Linked DNA regions of Sus scrofa. The protein of the gene in region 1 purifies or fractionates together with the protein of each later gene. This does not show direct contact. Links are inferred from orthologs where the notes say so. Each region holds a gene or a part of one and is shown in the gene's direction. Other genes may lie near its edges. The genes, in order: PSTPIP1 and WAS.

Evidence for each region.
Region 2: the proteins of PSTPIP1 (region 1) and WAS purify together in Homo sapiens (affinity purification with western blotting; 3 studies listed by BioGRID and IntAct, with this or other methods). This does not show direct contact. The link is inferred for Sus scrofa from reciprocal best matches to the Homo sapiens genes PSTPIP1 and WAS.

What each region holds. Positions count from the first base shown.
Region 1 is NC_010449.5:57,132,593-57,144,056, forward strand, and holds part of PSTPIP1 (proline-serine-threonine phosphatase-interacting protein 1), read left to right. Parts: intron 1-2,776; coding exon 2,777-2,811; intron 2,812-3,040; coding exon 3,041-3,147; intron 3,148-5,668; coding exon 5,669-5,731; intron 5,732-6,330; coding exon 6,331-6,429; intron 6,430-7,279; coding exon 7,280-7,325; intron 7,326-8,276; coding exon 8,277-8,356; intron 8,357-8,867; coding exon 8,868-8,966; intron 8,967-9,878; coding exon 9,879-9,975; intron 9,976-10,464; coding exon 10,465-10,555; intron 10,556-11,062; coding exon 11,063-11,118; intron 11,119-11,303; coding exon 11,304-11,437; intron 11,438-11,464. UniProt on the Homo sapiens protein: Involved in regulation of the actin cytoskeleton. May regulate WAS actin-bundling activity. Bridges the interaction between ABL1 and PTPN18 leading to ABL1 dephosphorylation.
Region 2 is NC_010461.5:42,777,127-42,788,590, forward strand, and holds part of WAS (wiskott-Aldrich syndrome protein), read left to right. Parts: intron 1-3,079; exon of another isoform or gene 3,080-3,095; intron 3,096-3,330; exon of another isoform or gene 3,331-3,346; intron 3,347-6,468; 5' UTR 6,469-6,517; coding exon 6,518-6,649; intron 6,650-7,015; coding exon 7,016-7,156; intron 7,157-8,601; coding exon 8,602-8,688; intron 8,689-8,805; coding exon 8,806-8,908; intron 8,909-9,300; coding exon 9,301-9,342; intron 9,343-9,439; coding exon 9,440-9,493; intron 9,494-10,753; coding exon 10,754-10,922; intron 10,923-11,464. UniProt on the Homo sapiens protein: Effector protein for Rho-type GTPases that regulates actin filament reorganization via its interaction with the Arp2/3 complex. Important for efficient actin polymerization. Possible regulator of lymphocyte and platelet function.

The sequences.
Region 1 (11,464 bases):
TCTGAGCAGGATGTGGGGGTGTTGTGGGTGGGGGGAGGGTAGAGACGTGGCCATGCTGGGCTAGAGAGGCTGTAATCATCATGGGGAGACTGAGGCAGGAGGTGAGTGTGGGGGCGATGAGCGGGATGGAGGGTGTAACTGCTGGCAAGGCATCCATTTGTCCTGGAGTCCTGACGTCTCCACTCCCTCCACTATGGCCATCACCCCTCCCTCCTCTGATAAGAAGCAGAGGGCTGGCCTTGACCTGGTCCCACCTGGTTCCTCCTCTCACCAGCTGTGCGGCCATGGTCATTTTCTTCACCTCTCTGACTCTTGTTTTTCACATCTGTAAAATGGGGATAATGATGGCACCCTCCCTGGCTGGCAGAGTTGTGAGGACAATAATTTAGGCCAAGAATTCTGAGTTCTTATATCAGCGGTACCTGGAGCCTTGTCAAAACGGTGTGCTGGGCCCCCACCCCCCAGCTTCTGCTTTGGGAGGACTGGGGTAGAGCCTGAGAATCTGCGTTTCTAACAAACCCCCAGGTGATGCGGATGCTGCTGGTTTGCTGCTCCTCCATGGCCTCAGTTTCCCTAACTGACCTGTGGGAGGAGGGAGCCCCCTGCCAAGCCTGACTTGCAAGGATTGCAGGAGAGAGGGCAGAAGGGCAGGGCTGTCTCACTGGGTGTCATGCGGCGATAAGGCCACCAGGGGGCGCGCGCGCTGCTTCGCGGAGCGGCGGGGTGGAAGCCGAGGGCACGCTGGGCGGATAGCGGCAAAAGAATGCGGCTAGGGCAGGACGCTTCGCCGTGTGACCCAGCAAGCCTGGCCACCCTCTGGCCTGTTTCCCTAATATGCCCAATTGGCTATGGCTCCTCAGGAGTCCTGGTGAAGGGGGCAGCCGCAGTATGTATTTCGCCTCCTTAGTTAAGGGACCATAAACACAGGCGGAGAATTTTACTCCTGAGAGCCGACAAGCCTCACTTCAGGGCCAATCTAGAGCCCCACACACCAGCTCTGTCTGGGTGCTTGGAGACTCACCCACGGGCCCAGGCCGGGCATCCCTCACACACATGTGCTCATGATCAGTTTGTTCCTCACGCCCACGGGGTGGCAGGGAGTGAGGGAAAGGGAGCCTAATCTATGGGGCTGCTTCAAGGGGACCCCCTACCTGAAGGCGAACCAACAGGAGGTTTCTGATAATAGGGGACATGCATTAAGGTCTTAGATAGAGTGTTTTGAGGGCATAGCTCAGGTCAGGTTCAGGAGTCTGAGGGATCCCCCCCAGGATGCCTCCGGTTGTGCAGATGTGGGCTCAGCAGAGGGAGGCCTAACAACAGCAGCCCTTGTAAAGCACCTGCTTTGCACCAGGTCCTGACAGAGGTACTCTATACATATGAATTCATTTGATCCTCACAACCATTCTGTTTGTGCTGTTTTTATCCCCATTTGGCAGAAGGGGAAACTGAGACACAGGCTAAGGAACTTGTCCAAGGTCACACAGAGAGTGAGTGGCAGGGTTTGGACTGAACCCAGACCATCTGGCTCCAGGGTCGTCTTCTAATGCATGTGGGAGTCCAGAGTGGGAGGTCCCTACCCAGGTTCCTAGCCTGGGAGTACGAGTCACTTCCCTCCTCTGCCAGGAGGTGGTGCTCACCCCTCTGAGAGGCCCCTGTGCCTGACAGGCTGGGGCAGGCATTTCCCTGTCAGTTCTATTCTGACCCAAGGATCCCTGTGCCTCCTGGTGCCCCTCACCTCCCAGCAGACAGGATGGGGTTCCAAGGGGGCTCGACACCTCTGCTCGGGCCTCAGCTCGATTTGTAGCTCTGGGAGAGACCCCCTCCACAGGACTGCCAGATAAAATACAGAATGCCTCGGTAAATTTGAATTTCAGATAAATGACAGATATTTTAAAAATGTAAGTATATTCCAAATATTACCAGGGGCATGCTTATATTCAAAAAGTATTTGTTTATCTGAAATCTGAACTTAACTATCCGGCATTTTTATTTGCTCCATCTCGCAATTCTACCTGGTGCATCACCCCTCACCTCCCATGCCCAGCGCCACCTGCTTCCCTTCCCGCTCTCCCTCTCAACCCCTGGAGTGGACAGCACCTACATCTCTGCTCTAGACTGGCCACCTCGATGCTTCCTGACTCCTCCTGCTGGGGTTTTTAAGGCACCCCAAGCCTGGTGCACCCTAAAGTAACTCCCTATCTTCTTCCCTCCTGGGACCCACTCAGAGGTGTCCCTTCCAGCCGCCCAGCCGCCCAGCCAGGGACCAGGGAAGCCCTCAGCCTTCTGATGTCCTCACTTGTACATCCTTTTCATCCTGTCCTAAAGCCCCCACATCTCTCCCCTGCAGCACCCCTGCCTGCTTGTCACCCCCCTTCCCCCAGAGCCCCCATTCCACTCCCTTCAAAATGTCCTCAGGCCACCTGCCAGGTCTGAACCCCACCTTCTCCTGCTTCAGTTCATTCTAAAGAGAGAAGAGGACTACCGGGGAGGGACTCTGGGGGGCGGGGGGCTGGGGACTCCCAGAAGCCAGGAGCCTTCCACCACAGTGGGAGCTTTTGACTCCTTTGTATTTTCCAAAGAGAGCTTTGCCTTCCAGAAATTCCAGCTTGGGCTCTGAGGGGATGGTCACAGTCTGGCCAGAGAGTCCTTTGGGTCGAGATCGGTGTGTGTGAGTGACCTAGCGCCCTCCCACGGAAGTAAAAGTCCCTGGGCCCAGCCAGGACTTCAGGTTCTGCCCCGCTGTCCTCCTGCTGACCCTGGTCTTTCTGTTTTGCAGCTCCCTGAGGGCCTCCTTTGACTCCCTGAAGCAGCGTAAGTCCCACCTGTCCCCACCGCAGGCTGCAGGGTGACAGGACCCTCTGGGAACACGGTATCCCCATAGCTGGAGATGGATGGATCCTGGCTGGGAGGGGTTGTTGTGAGGCTGGTGGAGACACCCTGTGGGGTTGGGGCTGGGCTGGTCCAGGTGGGGGCGAGTGTGTGAGCGGCTGGGGCCCATCAAGTCTGATATCAGCAACTGACGTCCTTACTCTGCCCCCAGAAATGGAGAACGTGGGCAGCTCCCACATCCAGCTGGCCCTGGCCCTGCGCGAGGAGCTGCGGAGCCTGGAGGAGTTCCGAGAGAGGCAGAAGGAGCAGAGGAAGAAGGTGAGGCAGTGGAAGTGGTGGGGGAGGGGCTCTCCTCCTGGAAGGTGGGGAGACTGCACTCCAGGCTTGGAACAGGGCCCAGCTCTCAGGCCTGAAAGCCCGACCGTAGGTCTTCCCACTGAGCTATCTTCTACCAAGAAGAGGGAAAGACATTAACATTTTTTTCTGAAAAATTTTTATTGACGTATAGTTGATTTACACAATGTTGTGTTAATTTCTGCTGTGCAGCAAAGTGATTCATTTGTACACACGTAGATATTCTTTTCACATTCTTTTCCATGATGGTTATCACACGATATTGAATACCATTCCCTGTGCTCTACAGTAGGTCCTTGTTGTGATCCATTCTCTGTGTAATGGTTTGCATCTGCTAACCCCGAACTCCCAGTCCTTCCCTCCCTCTTGGCAACCACAAGACTGTTCTCTATATCTGTGAGCCTGTTTTTGTTGTGTAGATATATTGACTTGCGTTGGATTTTAGATTCCACATATAAGGGATACCACATGACATTTGTCTTTCTCTGACTTCTTTCACTTACTATGAGAATCTCTAGTTGCATCCATGTTGCTGCAAGTGGCATTATTTCATTCTTTTTTTTATGGCTGATAGTATTGCATTGCATAGTCATTGGTCATTTTGATTATCCTACTTCCACTAGGCTGTAGAGGGTCCCTGACAGCTTGGGGGTATCCAAAGGAGGGGAGTCACCAGAAACTGGTCCTGAGCTGAAGGATCAGGGTTGTTTATCCGGGAGAAAGGAGGACTTGGGCGAGTCAGTCACGGCGGCCATTCTGCAGGGCTGCCTGAGGCTGAAGGGAACAGAGCTTGCAAGTGGTGGGGGTGCTGAGTTTACCTTAGCATCCAAAAGTGCTTTTCACTCATCTGTAGGGTGTGGCTGTCCCTAGATAGAGGGACCGCATGGAAAGGAAGTGGGAGGGATGCAGCAGAGGTTGGATGGGAGGTGGGCTTGGTGACCTCTGTGTCCCAGGGCCCCCTCCCAAACCTGAGACTCTGACTGGTGGAGCTCGTGGCCCTCTGGGAAGGCAGATGGGCCTCAGTGATGAGGGTGGTGCCTTGGACGGGGGCGGGGAGGCCAGCACACAGATGTACTTCTTGCTTGGAGAGGAAGGATCATTGTAAACTGTCCAAGGAACTGGAATGGAAGAATCCATTCAACGGAGCTGGGAAGGGGAAGAAGGAGATAGTTCATGGCTGGGACTGAGTATCCCGGCCAAGCCACTTCCCCTGTCTGTGCCTCCGTTTCCCTCTTGCAGGATGGGACACTTATGTCCACCTCCCAAGTGTTGGGGACCCAGACCAGAACCAGCCCCCCTCAGTCTTCACAGGCAAGGTGCCAGCTCCAATTAGAGGCTCTTACCACAGAAATTCAGTGTGGCTGCACCCCCTGTCTGCCTATCTAGCTAGTTGGGGTTTCAGCCTTTCAGGATTCTAAATCTGGGTTCCTGAGCAGACTGTGGGTCCCCAAAGCCAGCCACAGAAACTGGCCTGGCCTTGAGGTGCAGGAGCAGAGGCCCTCTCTGGGCTGAAACTTGCCTGGGAAACATCTGCTGTGACCATGAGGCCCCAGGATGGCTATTTTGAGCTTTCCTGTGGCCAGTGAGACTGTGATGTCTACAAATAGCTGTTTTGGACAGTGACACCTTCCGCAGAGTGGCCAGGTCCTCCACAAGCAGAGGAGAGCTATGATGCAGTGTGTGGGGAAGACTGCCTGCATGTGTGTGCACACATGTGCATGTATGGACATGTGTGTGTGCCCAGGAGAACATGGGTGTGTGTGTGTGTGTGCACACCTGTGAACACATGCATGTGTCTTGGTGTGTGTGTGTTGGACCAGGTGGCTTCCTGAGGCCTTGTCGCTGACACAGGCCCCACTGTGACCCCAGGCACAACTTGGCTATAGCCCTGACATGAGGGGTGTCTCATTCCCTCATTTCCAGTCCCTGCCAGGCACATCCTCCATCTGAACGAGGAGCACGGGAGGCAAGGTGGGGGTGCAGAGGCCCCGTGTGCCTGCGTGTGTGGCCATGACTAAATTTGGAGTGTGTGTTCACCTGTGTGCAGAGGCTCATGGCAGGGGGGGTGGCACTTGGGAGAGGTGTGTGAAGGCCTTGTGTGTGCAAGTATGAGCAGTAGGAACCTTTTAGCGTGTACTTCTGCGCATGGGTGGAACTCTGTGCGCATGTGTACACGGAGCATGATGGCTGTATGCGGGTACAGGGGCGCATGCGTGCGTGCAGGCTGGGTGTCCCCAGCTAGAGATGAAGTCTGGACAGGTCAGTAGCGAGAGGCTACGATGGCACATCCGTGCCTCGGGCTCCCCGCTTTCTGCTCTGAGTGCTGGTTGTGAAAGAGCAGGTCCTGGGAGAGGGGGGTCTTGGTGCCACCCCCTTCAGAGCCAGTAGGGGATGCTGGGCCTCATCCCAGGGACACCCGTCCTCTTGGCCTAGGGGAGTGTCCCGAGGCCACAGCCCCACGCTCAGAGCTTCGTGTCCCCCGCAGTTCGAAGCTGTCATGGACCGTGTCCAGAAGAGTAAGCTGTCCCTCTACAAGAAGGCCATGGAGGTGAGTGCCAGGGCCTTGGGCCTGGGGGTGGCAGGGCTCAGGGTGTGGATCCCAGGAGCCCTGGGCGGGCACAAGGGACAGGGCTGGCCTCAGGCCTCTGTCCAGCAACAGGCACAGTGGGGCTGTGCTGGGTCCACCTGCCCTTGGGAGCTCCTCCTGATGGGCAGGTAATTGGTCCCGACAGTGGTCCCCTGGGTCATCCATGCTGGAGCTGGGGACTTGGGGGGATGAAAGGAGTGGGGACCTCTGAACTGTCTCCTAGGACAGAGTAAGGAGGAAAAAAATGGCTCTACAGGAGAGGACGGCATGTGCAGAGGCTGCCCCTGTGACAGTGCAGGGCGTTTTCAGGGCCCTGCTGGTAGTTTGATGTGACCACGCCCCTGAAGAGGCCAGGGCCACAGGCAGGGCTACCCTGTCCCCACTGGGAAGGGGCCTGGGCACACGATGCCCTTCTCCATCTCCATTCTGGACCCCCAGTCCCTGTCTGTGGTGAGGAAGCCCCTGTTCCATCCACACCCCTCAGCGGGTAGAAGAGAGGCTGAGCTCAGAAACCTCCCTCTGGGGCCTCTACGTCATGTGTCTGTGTCCCCGCCCCCCAGTCCAAGAAGACGTATGAGCAGAAGTGCCGGGATGCTGACGACGCGGAGCAGATCTTTGAGCGCATTAGTGCCAATGGGCAACAGAAGCAGGTGGAGAAGGTGCGTTGAGCCACTGAAGTCACCTGGTGTCCCTGGGCTGAGACAGGGCGGGAGTCAGGGCAGGGGTGACACAGACCGTTAAGGCAAGGTGTGCATCTGGAACACGCTGGCTGCTCCCCTCTCTCTGAACCTCCATTTCCCCATCTGTGAAATGGGTTTCCTGGAATCTCAGGGTCTAGATGGCGTCAGCTCGATCCACTTTGCCATGTCCAGGCTGCACTCAAGGTCCTTCCTCGGAGCAGGCCCAGAGCTCACAGGGCCATGAGAGCAGATGCTAACCCTCACATGACCCTTGGGAGAGGGGCTCGGTAGGCCCATGTCACAGAGAGGAAATGGGCCCAGAGAAGGCGAGGAAGCAGCAGAGAAAGCACCCCCACCCGGAGTGGCCAGGCCCCAGCCCTTGTCGGCTCTGACCTCTAGGCCAGAACGGGATGTGGGAGCCTCCCGGGCCTGAGAACGCGTTTGCCCTTGTCCCGGACAGGAAAGCCAAGGCCCAGAGAGGGCAGGGGCCTGCGGGCGAGTTGGTGGCAGCGAGTCAGGACCAGAGCCCAAGCCCCAGGCAGTGGGTTCTGCAGTGGTCGTGGGGCCCCAGGTCGTTTCTTGCTCTAAGTCTCAGCATCTAGTTTTCACATCTGAGCTGCAGGTTTCTGGTTTATTCCTTTTTCATCAGAACCACCCTGTGGGCCCGTGGGGAGAGGCTGGAGTTAAACGAGGGAACTTGCCCATATGTGGCTCCTTAGTGTCCCGCTGGGTGGCCGGGGAGGCTGTGACAGGTCCCCTCTGAGATGCCCAGGGAGGCCGGGGACCCGGGGGCTGGGGCCTCAGCGCTGCTTTTCTGCTGTCTCCTCAGAGCCAGAACAAGGCCAAGCAGTGCAAGGACTCCGCCATGGAGGCAGGTACGTGGAAGGGCCCCTCCTCAGCCCAGGGGGTGGGGTGGCCCCACCACACACGCACATCCTTCACCCCAGGGACACTGTCACTTGCTCATCACTCTCACTTCCACATTTATGTGAGTAAAACAAAAACATTCATTTTCTTGCATTTGCCAGGACGGTTCTTGGTGGTTTGCACGTTTGAACTACTCCACACCACAACAGTGATCCCTGTCTTGATCCCCCTTTTTAACAGATGAGGAAACTCTGGTGGCACAGAGAGGTTAAGTAACTTGCTCAAGGTCACAGAGCGAGGAAGTGGTGATAACTGCAAATAGAAGCCCTCGGCTCCAGGGCCCAGGGCCCGGACAGCCACAGTCGAGGGAGATAGGCTCCCTCTCCTCGCACACACCGCTCTCGTACCCACAGGTGTTCAGATATGCACACAGCCTTCTCAGGGCCTGTCTCCTCTATCTTTCTCCTGATGTCAGAAGCCCCCCACACCTCTTGTCTCTGCTGGCACAATTCCTAGGACAGAGCGTCTCCTTGCTCTCTTTCCCTGGGAAGCTCTCCCTTCTGGTGGCACTGCCTTTCCCAGGACCCAGCTTCTCCCTTGGCTGGGGGACAGAGGTCATGGCCTAAGCCCCCCTGGCTTCCCAGCCCCACAGCTCCTGATGCCCCTTCCATCCCTCCTTGTGTGCTGCCCTCGCTGAGCCTCAGTTTCCCATCTGGAAAGTGAGATGGTGGGAGCTGAGATGGCGAGAGGCCTGACTCTGACTTTGGGTGTACAAGGCTCTGCCCCAGCCCCAGGCCGCCGGAGCACAGCGGGGAGCTGAGTCACCTGAGAAGAGCGGGACCAGCATGGTGGTGGCCCTGCCGAGTGTGCCAATGGGTGCGGGCAGCCAGGGCGGGTCTCCAGTGGGAGGCAGGCACCCAGGCAGGGGCGGCCTCCCTGAGGACCCCCTGTGCTTCCAGAGCGGGTGTACAGGCAGAACATCGAGCAGCTGGAGAAGGTGCGGGGCGAGTGGGAACAGGAGCATCGGACCACCTGCGAGGTGAGTGACCCCCAGGCATGGAGCCTCTTGCTCAGCTACATCGCGGGAGCCACCACCCCTGCTCTGGCTGCTTCAGGGGGAGATGAGGCAGTGGGGGGGGGGGGAAGGCATTGCTCCTTCATTCCCTCACTCATCCACTCATCCCACAGGCCCTGTGCAGGGGCCCTTCTTGCAGACAGTCATCCTTTGCCCCTTTTGGCTGAAACCAAAACTGAGGCGCACGCAGACCCTGTAGCTTGCCTGGGCTCTGCTGAGGGCAGCAGCCTCAGGATTCAGGGTCCAGGGCTCCCTGTACACCACGCCCCAGAGCTGCGGTGGGGCCTGGAGGAAGGGCTGGGGGCAGGAATCCCACAGGCTGCACCCTTCCCAGAAGCCTCAGGGGCTGGCAGAGGTGGGGGTGGGGCTCTCCAGGAAGAATCCTTCCTTTAGACTTGGCTCTCAGCAGAGGGGGTCTGGCCTGGCCCAGCCCGGTAGCACCCCCCGCCCCAGCTTCTCCCCTTGCTCCCCCCAGGCCTTCCAGCTGCAAGAGTTTGACCGGCTGACCATCCTCCGCAATGCCCTGTGGGTGCACTGCAACCAGCTCTCCATGCAGTGCGTCAAGGATGACGAGGTGTGGGCCGAGGGCAGGGAGGGGAGGGGGTGAGTGGGGGTGTGAGGGGAGGGCAACCTCTGGGCAACAGCGCACCCAGGGCCATCTGAGCCATCTGCACACCTAGTCCTCTGTGGTCCGAGCCCTGGCCCCAGCGGCCTCAGACCTCAGCATTGAGCCTCTGCCCTGGGGCCCCGAGGACAGGGAGTCAGCAGGCACAGGGCCACAGCCTCTGCCCAGAAGACTGCTTTGCAGGGACCCTGGCGTCTGCTCACCCTGCTCCCTCTGCCGGGTTTGGGAAGGCAGGTGGACTTAGCTGCTCAGGTCTGCAGATAAGCTGTGGTACCCAGGGTTGTTCTGCTCCAGGCCTGGTGCTTGCAGGAGCCAAGGTCCAGTCCCTCCTCTGCCCCCAGACACCTCAAGTGTGCCCTGGTTCCCCCCTGACTGAGCTCGACATGTCGGATGTGTCCTCCTCAGCAGAGAGGGCCTGCCACCTCCCCCCGGCCCCCTGGGCCTGGACTTCTGCTGACGCAGCCCTGGAGCCATGGACCCTCTCTCGAGGCAGCCCGGACTCCCTGACGCCAACTGCTGTCCCCTGCCTGACCCCTTCTGCCCATGGGGGGTGGAGTTTTGGGGTTTTCTCCACAAGTGACTTGAGCCCACCTGGTGGCCTCCTCATGGCAGAGGAAGGGGTGTGGGCTCTGAATCGTCTCATACTGGATCCAAAGCCCAGCACACTGAACTCCTGCTCTGTGACCTTGGGCAAGTCACCCTTCTCGGAGTTTCCTCATCTATAAAGTGAGCAAGTCGCATCTACCTCAGAGTGAGGTAAATCCCTTGCAAAGGAACTGGCACACAGTAGGTGTTCAAAAGCCAGGAGAAGCTGCCAGCCAGCGCTCTAACCCTCCAGCCTCTGCTCTTTCCCACCCCCAGCTCTACGAAGAGGTGCGGGTGACACTGGAAGGCTGCAGCGTGGACGCTGACATTGACGGCTTCATCCAGGCCAAGAGCACGGGCACCGAGCCCCCAGGTGAGGGCAGCCTGCAGGCAGCACAGCCTCTGGGCCCAGGCCCGCCTTCCCTGCAAGGCCTGGCCTGGGTTCTCTGAGCTTCGGGCCCAGACAGAGCTGGGGTGGCTCACAGCTCCCTTCTGGGTGAAGGAGCAGACCCGAGAGAGAGCTTAGGGACAGCAATCCCCTGTCCTCTGAGAAGATGAGCAGGGCCAAAGAACCCTGGACACAGAACGGGGAGATAAGGAGCCTCCTCTGCACCCAGCCTGTTTGCCCCACTAAATCTTGAGTCTGGAATATTCGTTCTTGGCGGTACCCACCGTGGGATCTTGCATGGGAAGTGAGAGGGGGGCCCCCTCGTCAGGCACAAGGCAGGCTGGGGCATAGGCCAGGAAGGTGGGGCCCCAGCCTGGGTCTCTGTCTGGGGAGAAGAAGGGGTGGGGAGTGGCACGTGTCCTGCCTGCCCTGCCCTCGCCACCCTGGGCCTCACAGGCCTGCTGTGGTCTGCAGCTCCGGTGCCCTACCAGAACTACTACGATCGGGAGATCTCCCCGTCATGTGGCAGCCCCGGTGTACAGCCATCCTGTGGTATGATAAAGAGGTGAGCCTCCGCATGATGCCAGCCAGCTGGGAACGAGGCTGGGCAGAGGGGGCAGGGCGGCCGGGAAGTGAGGCCAGCCTCTCCTCCTGCAGCTGGCTCTTCCGTATGTATTTATCGAGTATCTGTGGTGTGCCTGGTGCTGGGTGCTCTTTGGGGACAAGACAGGCTCAATCTAGCCTTGTGACACCCTCGGCCCAAGGGGACCTAGGCATTAAACAAATAATCCCCCCCACTTATTCACTGGCGACTGTGCTCAGAGTTCCGACGGCAGCTCCTTCGCCCTTGGGGGAGGCTGGAGCACAGAAGTCTTGGCGCCCCCGAGGCTCCGCAGGGAGCAGGTACTGAGATGTCTACAGGGTGAGGGTCCGGAGAGCACTGCTGGGGAGGGAAAAGCCACTGGGACCACCCTTTGGGGAGCCCTCCTGGTGAGGGGCACCCCATAAATCACCCGAGGGCCCCCTGCCTCATCCTCCCCCCAGCGCTCACCTGCTTTTCCTCTGTCCCCAGGTTCTCCGGGCTACTGCACGGAAGTCCCAAGAATGCTTCGCCAGCAGCTTCTGCGGGTAATTGGGGGGGCAGCTGTCACCCGGGGGGAAAGGGGGGGATGCCTACTTGGCACAGATGGACCCCCCAACGGTTGAGGTCGGGCAGAGGCTGAGCCAGGTCTGGGGAAGCTTCACGTCCGGGGGGCCTCCAGGGATCTGTTTTTTTGCTAAGAGGCGGGCACCAGGCCTCACCCTGCTCTCAGCCTCCACAGAGACCCTGACTCCCATCCCCGATCGGAATGAGGGTGTCTACGCTGCCATCAACGTGCAGGAGGTACCAGGACCCCCCACCCTGCCAGCCCAGGACTACAGGGCGCTCTATGACTACACAGCCCAGGTGAGCGTCCCCCGCTCCGTCCCCTCG
Region 2 (11,464 bases), on another chromosome or scaffold:
AAGGTAAGGGGAGGAGGACAGTGTGGCAAAGGACATTTCGCTGTCTTGGCCTCAGTTTGGTCTCAGAGGCCAGCGGTAGGACCTACCTCTCCATCATGGGCTCAATCATGTGACAGTGACCCGAATGTGGAAGACACCCCCAATGTCACTGAAGGTGTCTTTTTACCTACTCAGGACTTGGGGCATGGCAGTCGGGATCTTGCAAGCAATATCCCCTCAAAATAAAGGCAGATAAGCACAAGGGAGAGACAGGAAATGACTCTTCATTGGGTGACCCCCTGGGGGTTGGCAGAGGAAGGTATTGGGGGAACATGGGTGGGTGCAGGTTACGGATATGCTCAGGTTCCTGGGGGTTCACCAGATTACTGAGAAGTGAGTTAGGACTTCTGCTCCCCGCTGTGGGGCTGACTTAGAAGTTTTCAATCCATTCTCCTGCTGAGAACAACTGGAAAAACTGGATTAGGGGTTTTGTTCTTTTTATTTATTTGCTTTTCTTTAATTTTATTTTTTTTTTGGTCTTTTTAGGGCGACACCTGAGGCACATGGAGGTTCCCAGGCTAGGGGTTGAATCAGAGCTGTAGCCACTGGCCTACGCCACAGCCACAGCAACACCGGATCCTTAACCCTTTCTTTAATTTTTTAATTATAGTTGATTTACAGTGTTCTGTCAATTTCTGCTATACAGCAAAGTGACCCAGTTATACATATACGACATTCTTTTTTTTTTTTTTTTTGTCTTTGGTCTTTTTAGGACTGCACCTGCAGCATGTGGAGGTTCCCAGGCTAGGGGTTGAATCAGAGCTACAGCTGCTGGCCTACACCACAGCTAGAGCAACACCAGATCTGAGCCACATCTGCGACCTACACCACAGCTCAGAGCAACGCCAGATCCTTAACCCACTGAGGGAGGCCAGGGATTGAACCTGAAACCTCATAGTTCCTAGTCAGATCTGTTTCCGCTGCGCCACAACAGGAACTCCCATTCTTTTTTTTTTACATTGTCCTCCATCATGTTCCACCACAAGTGATCAGATATAGTTCCTCGGGCTGTACAGCAGAATCTCATTGCTTATCCTTTGGGTTTTGTTCTTTTTATTTATTATTATTTTTATTTTCATTTTTGTCTTTTTAGGGCTGCACCCACAGCATATGGAGGTTGCCACACTGGGGGTCAAATTGGAACTGTAGCCGCTGGCCTGCACCACAGCCACAGCAACGTAGGATCCAAGTAACATCTTCAGCCTACACCACAGCTCATGGCAACACTGGATCCTTAACCCACTGAGCAAGGCCAGGGATTGAACCTGCAACCTCATGGTTCCTAGTCGGATTCGTTAACCACTGAGCCACAACAGGAACTCTGAAAAAAATACACATTTTAAACATCTGTACAGTACAGGGAATTATATCCAACTTTCTGGGACAGACCGTGATGGAAAAGAATATTTCAAAAGAATGAATATAGGGAGTTCCCATTGTGGTGCAGCATGAAGGAATCTGACTGGTATCCATAAGGATGTGAGTTCAATCCATGCCCTCGCTCGGTGGGTCGTGGATCTGGTATTGCTGGGAACTGTGGTCTAGGTTGCAGATACAGCTTGGATCTGGCTTGGCTGTGGCTGTGGCATAGGCCAGCAGCTGCAGCACCGATTTGACCCCTAGCCTGGGAAATTTCATATACGGTGGGCGCAGCCTTAAAAAAGCAAAAAAAAAAAACAGGAGTTCCCGTCATGGCTCAGTTGTTAACAAATCCGACTAGGAACCATGAGGTTTCGGATTCAATCCCTGGCCTCGCTCACTGGGTTAAGGATCCGGCCTTGCTGTGAGCTGTGGTGTAGGTCACAGATGCGGCTGGGATCCCTCGTTGCTGTGGCTGTGGTGTAGGCCGGCAGCTACAGCTCTGATTCGAACCCTAGCCTGGGAACCTCCATATGCCGCGGGTGCGGCCCTAGAAAAGACAAAAAATAAAAGGCAAAAAAACACTGTAAATCAATGATACTTTAATTTTTTTAAAAAAGCAAATACAAGTGTCTGCTCCTTAGAAATAAGAACAGGAAATATACAACTTTTAAATGTTAATTTACAAAACCACCAGCAAATGTTGCCGAGGTTTAAAGCCCTCTGATGTAGACTTATGGGGGACCGATCTAGAAGCAGAGAAAGAAGGATTAAAAAAAAAGACAGTGAAGGAGCAGAAGAATTTTCTCTCAGCCCCACCTGGCATTTAACAGTTTAGGAACCAGTTCTCACATAATTGGCCTCAGCTCCACCACTGGACAGCTGTGTGCCCTCAAGCAGGTCAGCTACACTTCTCTGGGCCACAGCTTCCACATCAGTAAAATGGAGATAGCAGGAGAGCTTACCTCATGGGATCTTTGTGTATGAAATGAGTTCATAAGTGTAAGGCACTTAGAAAAAGATCAGATCCTACTGTATAGGACGGGGAACTCTATCCAATCTCTTGTGCTAGAACACGATGGAAGATAATGTGAGAAAAAGAACAAGAATATATATATGGATGACTGGGTCACTTTGCTGTACAGTGAAAATTGGCACAACAGTGTAAATCAAATATACCTTATTTTAAAAAAATTTTTAAGGAGTTCCGATCATGGGTCAGCGGAAACGAATCTGACTAGCATCCATGAGGACACAGGTTTGATTCCTGGCCTCCCTCCGTGGGTTAAGGATCCCGTGTTGGCGTGAGCTGTGGTACAGTTCACAGGTGCGTCTCATGTCTGGTGTTGCTGTGGCTGTGGTGTAGGCCGGTGGCTACAACTCCAATTTGACCCCTAGCCTGGGAACCTCCATATGCCGAGGGTGCAGCCCTAAAAAGACCAAAAAACAAAAATACTTTTAAAGAAAAAGATCAGAAAATATGAAATCAAATGAGACATTCATCCCTCATTCATTCCTTTAATAAAACATTTATTGAGTGTCTGGTTTGTGCCAGATACTGGAGGGATGCTTGGTGCACAGTGAGAGCTCAACAACAGTGTCAACCTGAGCGAATGCAGTGGCCAGCTGAGGAGAAGCAGGACCTTACCCCAGCCTGGAAGGGGCTCCAGGCCAGAAGGTGTGAAATCCATCGCCTGGTGAGTTGGGAGCACCCAACATGAGGTTGTGAGCAGAGAGGAGGCAGGGACATTGGAATTGTCACAGCACAACAGGCTTTGAGCCTAGGCTTAGGAGAGAAGCTTGTCACCTGCAGGCATGGGGGCGATACAAGGTTTCCAGATAGGACTGTGGGTCCAGCCTTGAAATATGCTTTTTCCCTTCAGGTACCTGGGAATATGCCAGTCACATGCCAGACATGCTAACCTGCCTCCACCCCCACCAAGCTGCTGTATGTGTGCCTGAGAGCTGCGTGTCTTTGTGTCCTCTTCGTGACCCAGGGAGGCGTGGGGACTGAGCTGGCATTCGTCTGGGGAGACAGTCTGTCAAAGTTAGAGCTCTTGAAGTTCCCTTGCGGCTCAGTAGGTTAAAGATCTGGCATTGTCACTGCTATGGCGCAGGTTCGACCTCTGGCCCAGGACCTTCCACATGCCATGGGTGTGGCCAAAAAGAAAAACATGTTTTTTTTTTTTCTTCTATTTTTACAGCCGTACCTGCAGCATGTGGAAGTTCCCGAGCCAGGAATGGAACTGGAGCTGCAGTTGCCATGGCAACACCAGATCCTTAACCACTGGGCAAGGCCAGGGTTCAAACCCACATCCTCACAGAGACAACGTTGGGTCCTTAGCTCACTGAGCCACAGTGGGAATGCCCAGAAAAACATTTTTAAAGGGCTATTGCAGGAGTTCCTGCTGTGGCACAACAGGATAGGTGGCATCTTGGGAGCGCTGGGACCAATGTTTGATCCCTGGCCCGCCACAGTGGGTTAAGGATCTGGCATTGCCACAGCTGTGTCTCACATTGCAACCGTGGCTTGGATCTGATCCCTGGCTGGGGAACTCCATATGCCAAGGGGTGGGAAAAAAAATGAGAGCTATGCAAACCCTGCAATGCCCAGATTCCCCTCCTGAGAGGGTGCATGCCTATGTGGACCAAGAGATGCATACAGGAGCAACACAGCAGCCAGTGTTGCTGTCAACCACAAAAGCCAGAAACAGCTCAGATACCTGTTAACAGGAGGATATGAATAAACAAATTGTATAGTAACTATATATATATATATATATATATGCTATATGGTATATACTATATAGCACTGAAAATAACAACTGCTACAAGCAAATATGAATCTTTTTTTTTTTCCGGTCTGTCATTTTAGGGTCGCACCTGCGCCATATGGAGGTTCCCAGGCTAGGGGTCCAATTAGAGCTACAGCTGTCGGCCTACACCACAGCCACAGCAACACGGAATCCGAGCTGCGTCTGCGACCTACACCACAGCTCACGGCAGCGCCGGATCCTTCACCCACTGAGCGAGGCCAGGGATCGAACCCACAATCTCATGGTTCCTAGTCGGGTTCGTTAACCACTGCGCCACGACGGGAACTCCAAATATGAATCTTAGTAACAGAGTGGGGATGGAGCATGAAAAGTGTACACTATGGGGAGTTCCCTGTTGTGGCTCAGTGGTAATGAACTAGTATCCATGAGGATTTGGGTTCGATCCCTGGCCTCGCTCAGTGGACTAAGGATCCGGCATTGCCATGAGCTATGGTGTAGGTCAGACAGCTCGGATCTGGCATTGCTGTGGCTGTGGGGTAGGCTGGCAGCTACAGCTCCGATTCGACCCCTAGTCTGGGAACTTTCATACACTGCAGGTGCAGCCCTAAAAAGAAAAAAAGTGTACACTCTGCACCCAGCCTTTCTGGCTTGCGGTCTGGGCTCTGCCCCTTACTAGCTGGGAGCTACTGGGGAAGTCATTTAAGCATTCTGTGCCTCAGTTTCCCTCTGTCACATGGACCTGGTAAAACAGCATGTGTCCCCCAGGCTGGTATGAGGATTTAAATGAGTCAGTATTTACAAAGAAGTCAGAATAGTGCCTGGCTCACACAGTTCAGTGCTATACATATAAACAGGATGTTGAGTAAGGAGAAAAACAAGTCTCCAAAGATTACAAACTTTCAAAAGTTGAAAAGCAACGGACCCGCAAGTAAACAAGATGGTGTTTAGGCATTCATGCACATAGGCTATAAAATCCCTTCCTTCTTGTTTCTTTTTTTGGCTGCCTCTGGGGCCTATGGAGTTCCCAGGCCAGGGATCAGATCCCAGCTGCAGCTGCAGCCGAAGCATCAGCTGAGACTAGCCTAAATCCTTAACTCACTGTGCCAGGCTGGCATTGAACCTGTGCCCCAGCACTCCAGAGATGCCACCAATCCTGTTGCGCCATAGTGGGAGCTCCTAGCATTCCTTTCTTAAAAAAAGGGGGATAAGATTTTTTTTAAAAAGGAAGAAAAGGAGGGAGTTCCCATTGTGGCTCAATGGAAACGAATCTGAGTAGTATCCATGAGGACATAGGTTCAATCCATAGCCTCGCTCAGTGGGTTAAGGATCCGGCGTTGCTGTGGCTGTGGCGCAGGCCAGTGGCTACAGCTCTGATTCGACCACTAGCCTGGGAACCTCCATGTGCCTTGGGTGCAGCCCTACAAAAAAAGAAAAAGAAAAAAGAAAAGAAAGAAAAAGGGATTTTTTTTTTCGTCTTTTCTAGGGCCGGTCCTGCAGCTTATGGAGGTTCCCAGGCTAGGGGTCGAATCGGAGCTGTAGCTGCCAGCCTACACCAGAACCACAGCAATGCAGGATCGGAGCCTCATCTACGACCTACACCACAGCTCACGGTAACACTGGATCCTTAACCCACTGAGCAAGGCCAGGGATCAAACCAACTACCTCATGATTCCTAGTCGGATGTGTTAACCACTGAGCCACAACGGGAACTCCAGAGATGAATTTTTTTTAAAAAATAAAGGAGGATAATAAGCAGGAAGTACTTTGGGAGCCACAGGGAGGTAGGGGTAGCAATGGGGAAGCTGAGCTGAGTGCCCTTGGGCTGTTGGGGGTCTCAGGAGAGGGCTAGGGTCCCAGGCGCTAGCTATATCATTAAAGGAAAAGCTTTCACCTAGTAACCCTTCAGCCCTAGGGGCCTGGGACCTTGGGCCCAGACTAGCTGGATGCTTTGGAAAGGAAGGAGGCTGCCCGGCTCCATGCCCGCTCCTGGCTGCACTGCAGAAGTGCCGCAGCGGCCTAGCTCTTGCTGCCAGCCAACCAGAGGGAGGCCGATCTGCGCTGGTCAGAGGGAGGTGGGCCCCAGAGCGCAAGAAAGAAAGGAGGCGGACATGAGTGGGTCCAAAAGATGGGTCCAACCAGGCACATGGAGGAGCCCCCCCCCCCCCCCCCCGTTGAAGGCAGGAGGAGGCCAGGCCCACCCAGGGGCCCCCGGAGGACTTGTTTCCCTTGTGGTTTTTTGCACTTCCTGTTCCCCTGCTCACTGCGGAAGTTCCTCTTCTTACCCTGCACTCAGAGCCTAGCCGGAGAGGACAGGACGGGAGAAGACGAGGACAGGAGGCACCATGAGTGGGGGCCCTGCGGGAGGCAGGCCCGGGGGCCGAGGAGGAGCCGCGGTCCAGCAGAACATACCCTCTGCGCTCCTCCAGGACCATGAGAACCAGCGACTCTTTGAGATGCTCGGACGGAAATGCTGGGTGAGCTGGGGATCGCCTGGCCCTCCCTGTCTCCTTTTCCTCCTCTTCCTCTCCGCCTCCTCTTCCGCCTCTTCATCTTCCTCATCCTCCCCCTCGCCTCCTCTCCCTCTCTCCTCATCTTCCTCATCCTTCTTGCCTCCCCTCGTCCTCTTCCTTTCCATCATCTCCTCTCCTGGCACCCACTTACCCCCATTCACCCATCCCAGGAAGATCTCCCCGTCTATTCGCTTTTCCTCTGGCTGCAGCTCTACCTTCAGAGCCAGGACAGCCATGGACAAGGAAGGACCACGTCTGGTTCCCAGCCTCTCTGGCCAACCCCCCCTCAGCGCTCCCCCCCCCCGACTGAGACCTGCTCTCCCCTCCCAGACACTGGCCACCGCGGTTGTTCAGCTGTACCTGGCGCTGCCCCCTGGAGCTGAGCACTGGACCAAAGAACACTGTGGAGCTGTGTGCTTCGTGAAGGATAACCCCCAGAAGTCTTACTTCATCCGCCTTTACGGCCTTCAGGTGACCCTCCACACCCCCCCACCGGACAGACACCCTAGCTTTCAACCCGCAAACCCACACCTATATCCGTAACCCTGAGCCCTCAGATCAGTGAACCCCTGATCCCCAGAACCAAAGACTTCATCCAGATGTCAACCCGTGGTTTGGCTTCCTAAGTCTGCGATGACTGACCCCAGAGTCTTCATGGCAAGATCTATAATTCCCAATATTAGTATACTTCCAAAGTCTAAGCTGTTCCAAAACCTCCAAAAAAACAGGCTATTATTTTTTTATGTGAACCTCAAATCTGTTCGCAACTCAACATTTTGGGTTTCAGAAATCCCCATTCAGAAGTTCCCATTGTGGCTCAGCGGTTAATGAACCCAACTAGCATCCATGAGGGTGCCAGTTCGATCCCTGGCCCTGCTCAGTGGGTAAAGGATCCAGTATTGCCGTGAGCGGTGGTGTAGGTCACAGATGTGGCTCAGATCCCGCATTGCTGTGACTGTGGTGTAGGCTGGCAGCTGTAGCTCTGATTCGACCCCTAGCCTGGGAACCTCCATATGCCATGAGTGCAGCCCTAAAAAGAAAAACAAAAAAAATATTCCCACTCAAAGCTCCTGAACTCCAGAATTTTGCCTAGCTCCTAAGTCATAAATCTGTTCCATAACCCCCCAGTCTAAATATGCCATTGAGTCTTGAACTCCAAATTTGTTCTGTTAAAACCACAGCATGGACCCCAGAATTCCTATGTGAAAACTCCGGAGCACGCAAATACTGCCAGAAATCTGTTCCACAAATCCCCAACCTCAACTCCCTAAGCATAAACCCCAAATTCATTCTTCTAAACCCATGAAGATAGACTCAGTAGAGCCACATCAAGATCCCAGAGCTGGGAGTTCCCTGGTGGTCTAGTGGATAAGATTCAGAGCTTTCACCACTGCAGCTCGGGTTCAATCTCTGGTCTGGGAGCTGAGATCCCACATCAAGCTGCTGCACACTAGCCCCCCCCCAAAAAAAATCCCAGGGCCATCGAATATTGACCCAAATCCAAAGCCATAACTCTACTCTATGAACCTCAAATTGCACATAACTTGGCTGGCTACCCCCCAAGACAAAAATCAACCTCCCAAGTCTATAGGTCTGAACCTCAAATCTCAACCCAGTTCCCAATACTGGCACCCTACCTGCCCAAACGAAGGCCCCCCCATAAAGGGGGGCAGGCTTCAGGATGGATTCTGCAAAGGGGCTCAGGTTCCTAGACTGAGAGTCTCAATCCTCACCTTCAAACCCCCAAATCCCAAATCCTCTCACTGAAGTATCTGACTCCCATAGTGCACCCCAATCCGCCCCAGACATCTAGTCCCTCAACTCTCTGATGCTGAACTAGAAAGCTCCAAATCAGATCCCAGGACCCCAAATTTGTATACTACGCCTCAGTGCCAGCATGTTCCCTGCCTCTCCAGGCCGGCCGGCTGCTCTGGGAACAGGAGCTGTACTCACAGCTGGTCTACTCCACGCCCACCCCCTTCTTCCACACCTTTGCTGGAGATGTAAGAGACCACCCAACCCCCAGGGGCCTCAGTCGGGGTGCTGGGAGGAGGTGGGAAAGGGGTCGGGGTGGGGGGCAGGGTGCACCTGGAAGGCTGCTGACCCCCAGGCCTGTGCAGGAATGCCAGGCGGGGCTGAACTTTGCAGATGAGGGCGAGGCCCAGGCCTTCCGGGCCCTGGTGCACGAGAAGATCCAAAAAAGGAATCAGAGGCAAAGTGGAGGTGAGCAGGCCTTGGGGGAGGAGAAGAGGTTGCCCAGAGGTGAGTGCAAGAGTGGGAAGCTGGAGGGAGTTCCCGTCATGGCTCAGTGGTTAATGAATCCGACGAGGAACCATGAGGGTGCGGGTTCGATCCCTGGCCTTGCTCAGTGGGTTAAGGATCTGGCGTTGCCGTGAGCTGTGGTGTAGGTCGAAGACGCGGCTCAGATCCCACGTGGCTGTGGCTGTGGTGTAGGCCGGGGGCTACAGCTCTGATTCGACCCCTAGCCTGGGAACCTCCATATGCCGCGGGAGCGGCCCAAGAAATGGCAGAAAGACAAAAAAAAAAAAAAAGAGTGGGAAGCTGGAAAAGCCCCCATCATGGTTCTGGTTCCCAGTCGAATTGTCTCTCCACAGACAGGCGCCAGCTCCCCACTCCACCCACACCAGCCAATGAAGGTGAGTCCTTTAGCGAGTGCAATTAGGAGTAAAAAGGGCCCGGCCCAGGAACCTGTGGCAGGATTGCAATGGCTCTCTACCCATCCCATCTTCCCAGAGAGAAGAGGAGCGCTCCCACCCGTGCCCCCGCACCCAGGTGGAGACCAAGGGGGTGAGTGCTGATTCTTCCCTGTGTCTCTGGGTGGGCAGGTGGGTGGGGGAGTGGGTGGATGGGTGAGTAAGTGGGTGGGTACAGAGATAAGTGGGTGAATGAGTAGGTGAATGGATGTGTAGTTAGATGGATTGGTGGTGGACAAATGATTGAATAGGACGAGGAATTGAGGGAAGGATGAAAATATAGATAGATGTACAGGTTGTGTGTATAGATATATAGGTGAGAGTTCCCGTCATGGCTCAGTGGTTAACGAATCTGACTAGGAACCATGAGGTTGCGGGTTCAATCCCTGACCTCGCTCAGTGGGTTAAGGATCCGGCATTGCCGTGAGCTGTGGTGTAGGTCGCAGATGTGGCTCAGATCCCGCGTTGCTGTGGCTCTGGCGTAGGCTGGTGGCTACAGCTCTGATTAGACCCCTAGCCTGGGAATCTCCATATGCTGCAGGAGTGGCCCTGGAAAAGACAAAAAGACAAAAAAAAAAAAAAAGATATACAGGTGAATGGGTATGGGGATAAATAGATGAATGGATGGATGGATGATTGACTGAATGAGTGACTGAATTCAACAGTGAATAAATGAGTGACATAAAATTGCAAGCAGTGGAGTTCCTGTCGTGATGCAGCAGAAGCGAATCTGACTAGCATCCATGAGGATGCAGGTTCAATCCCCAGCCTCGCTCAGTGGGTTAAGGATCTGGCATTGCCATGAGCTATGGTGTAGGTCACAGATGCGGCTTGGATCTGGTGTTGCTGTGGCTGTGGTATAGGCTCCAATTCAACCCCTAGTCTGGGAACCTCCATATATTCTATGGGTGGAGCCCTAAAAGACCAAAAAAAAAAAAAATTGCAAACAGTGGATGGCACAACATTGAAACCAACTACACCTTAATAATAATAAAAAAAAAGGACTAATCCCAAGCATCTTGGGATTTACAAGTGAGAAAAAAATTTCAATCTGTGGAGAAAGCAATGAATGAATGAATGAACAAGTAATTTAACAGATTAGTCCATGAGCAAGTGAATCAATGAGTTGATACTTAAGTGATAAGCGTGAGTGAACATAAATAAATGAATCAGTGAATGCGTGGATGGTTTGTGGGCCCCAACCACACTCTTCTCCATAAACCCTACTTGGACCCCCTCACCCCCTCCCTCCACAACCATCAGACACAGAGATTCTCCCAGCTATCTTCCTGTCTCTTATGCCTGTGCTTTGCTTGGTTGGGTCAATGACTCAGTCCCCCTATTTTCCCCACAGGTCAAGGAAGCAGCTCACTGTCCTTGGTGACAGTGGACATCCAGAACCCAGACATCACAAATTCACGATACCGTGGGCTCCCGACCCCGGGGCCTGGTCCAGGTGATAAGAAACGCTCAGGGAAGAAAAAGATCAGCAAGGCTGATATTGGTGCACCCAGCGGATTCAAGTGAGAACCTCTCCCCAGTGGGCCCATGGATCCCTGGGGGGTGGGGGAGCGCATAAGCAGGTGGACAGGAGGCGAGCCAAGTGGTTGGAAGGATGGGAAAATGGATGGGTGGGTGGGTGAGTGCAAGGCCGGGACTAGGTCACCATGATTGCAAACGTTGTAGAGGCTATCCCTCTCCAGGTTGTCCAACTACAGTTCATGACCCAGAGTGAGTGCCTCCTTAAAGTTTGCTCCCTAACACTTTCACTCATCTCAACCTAGTCCTACCCCGGTTAGGCTGGCCCATGAGTTGGGGGGAGGGTAGATGGATGGATGGATGGATGGGTAGGTGGGTTGGAGAATGAATGGGTGGATAAATGGGAAGTGGGTCGGTAGATGGATGGCTGAGGGGATGAGTATATGGACAGATGGATATATAGGCTGATGGGCTCACAGGCAAGTTGGATGAGGATGGATAGATGGCCAGATATGTGGATGTGTGGACAGTGCAGGGGATACGTGGTCAGCAGTGTGTAGTCGCATGGGTCGTCACGCGAGTGAAT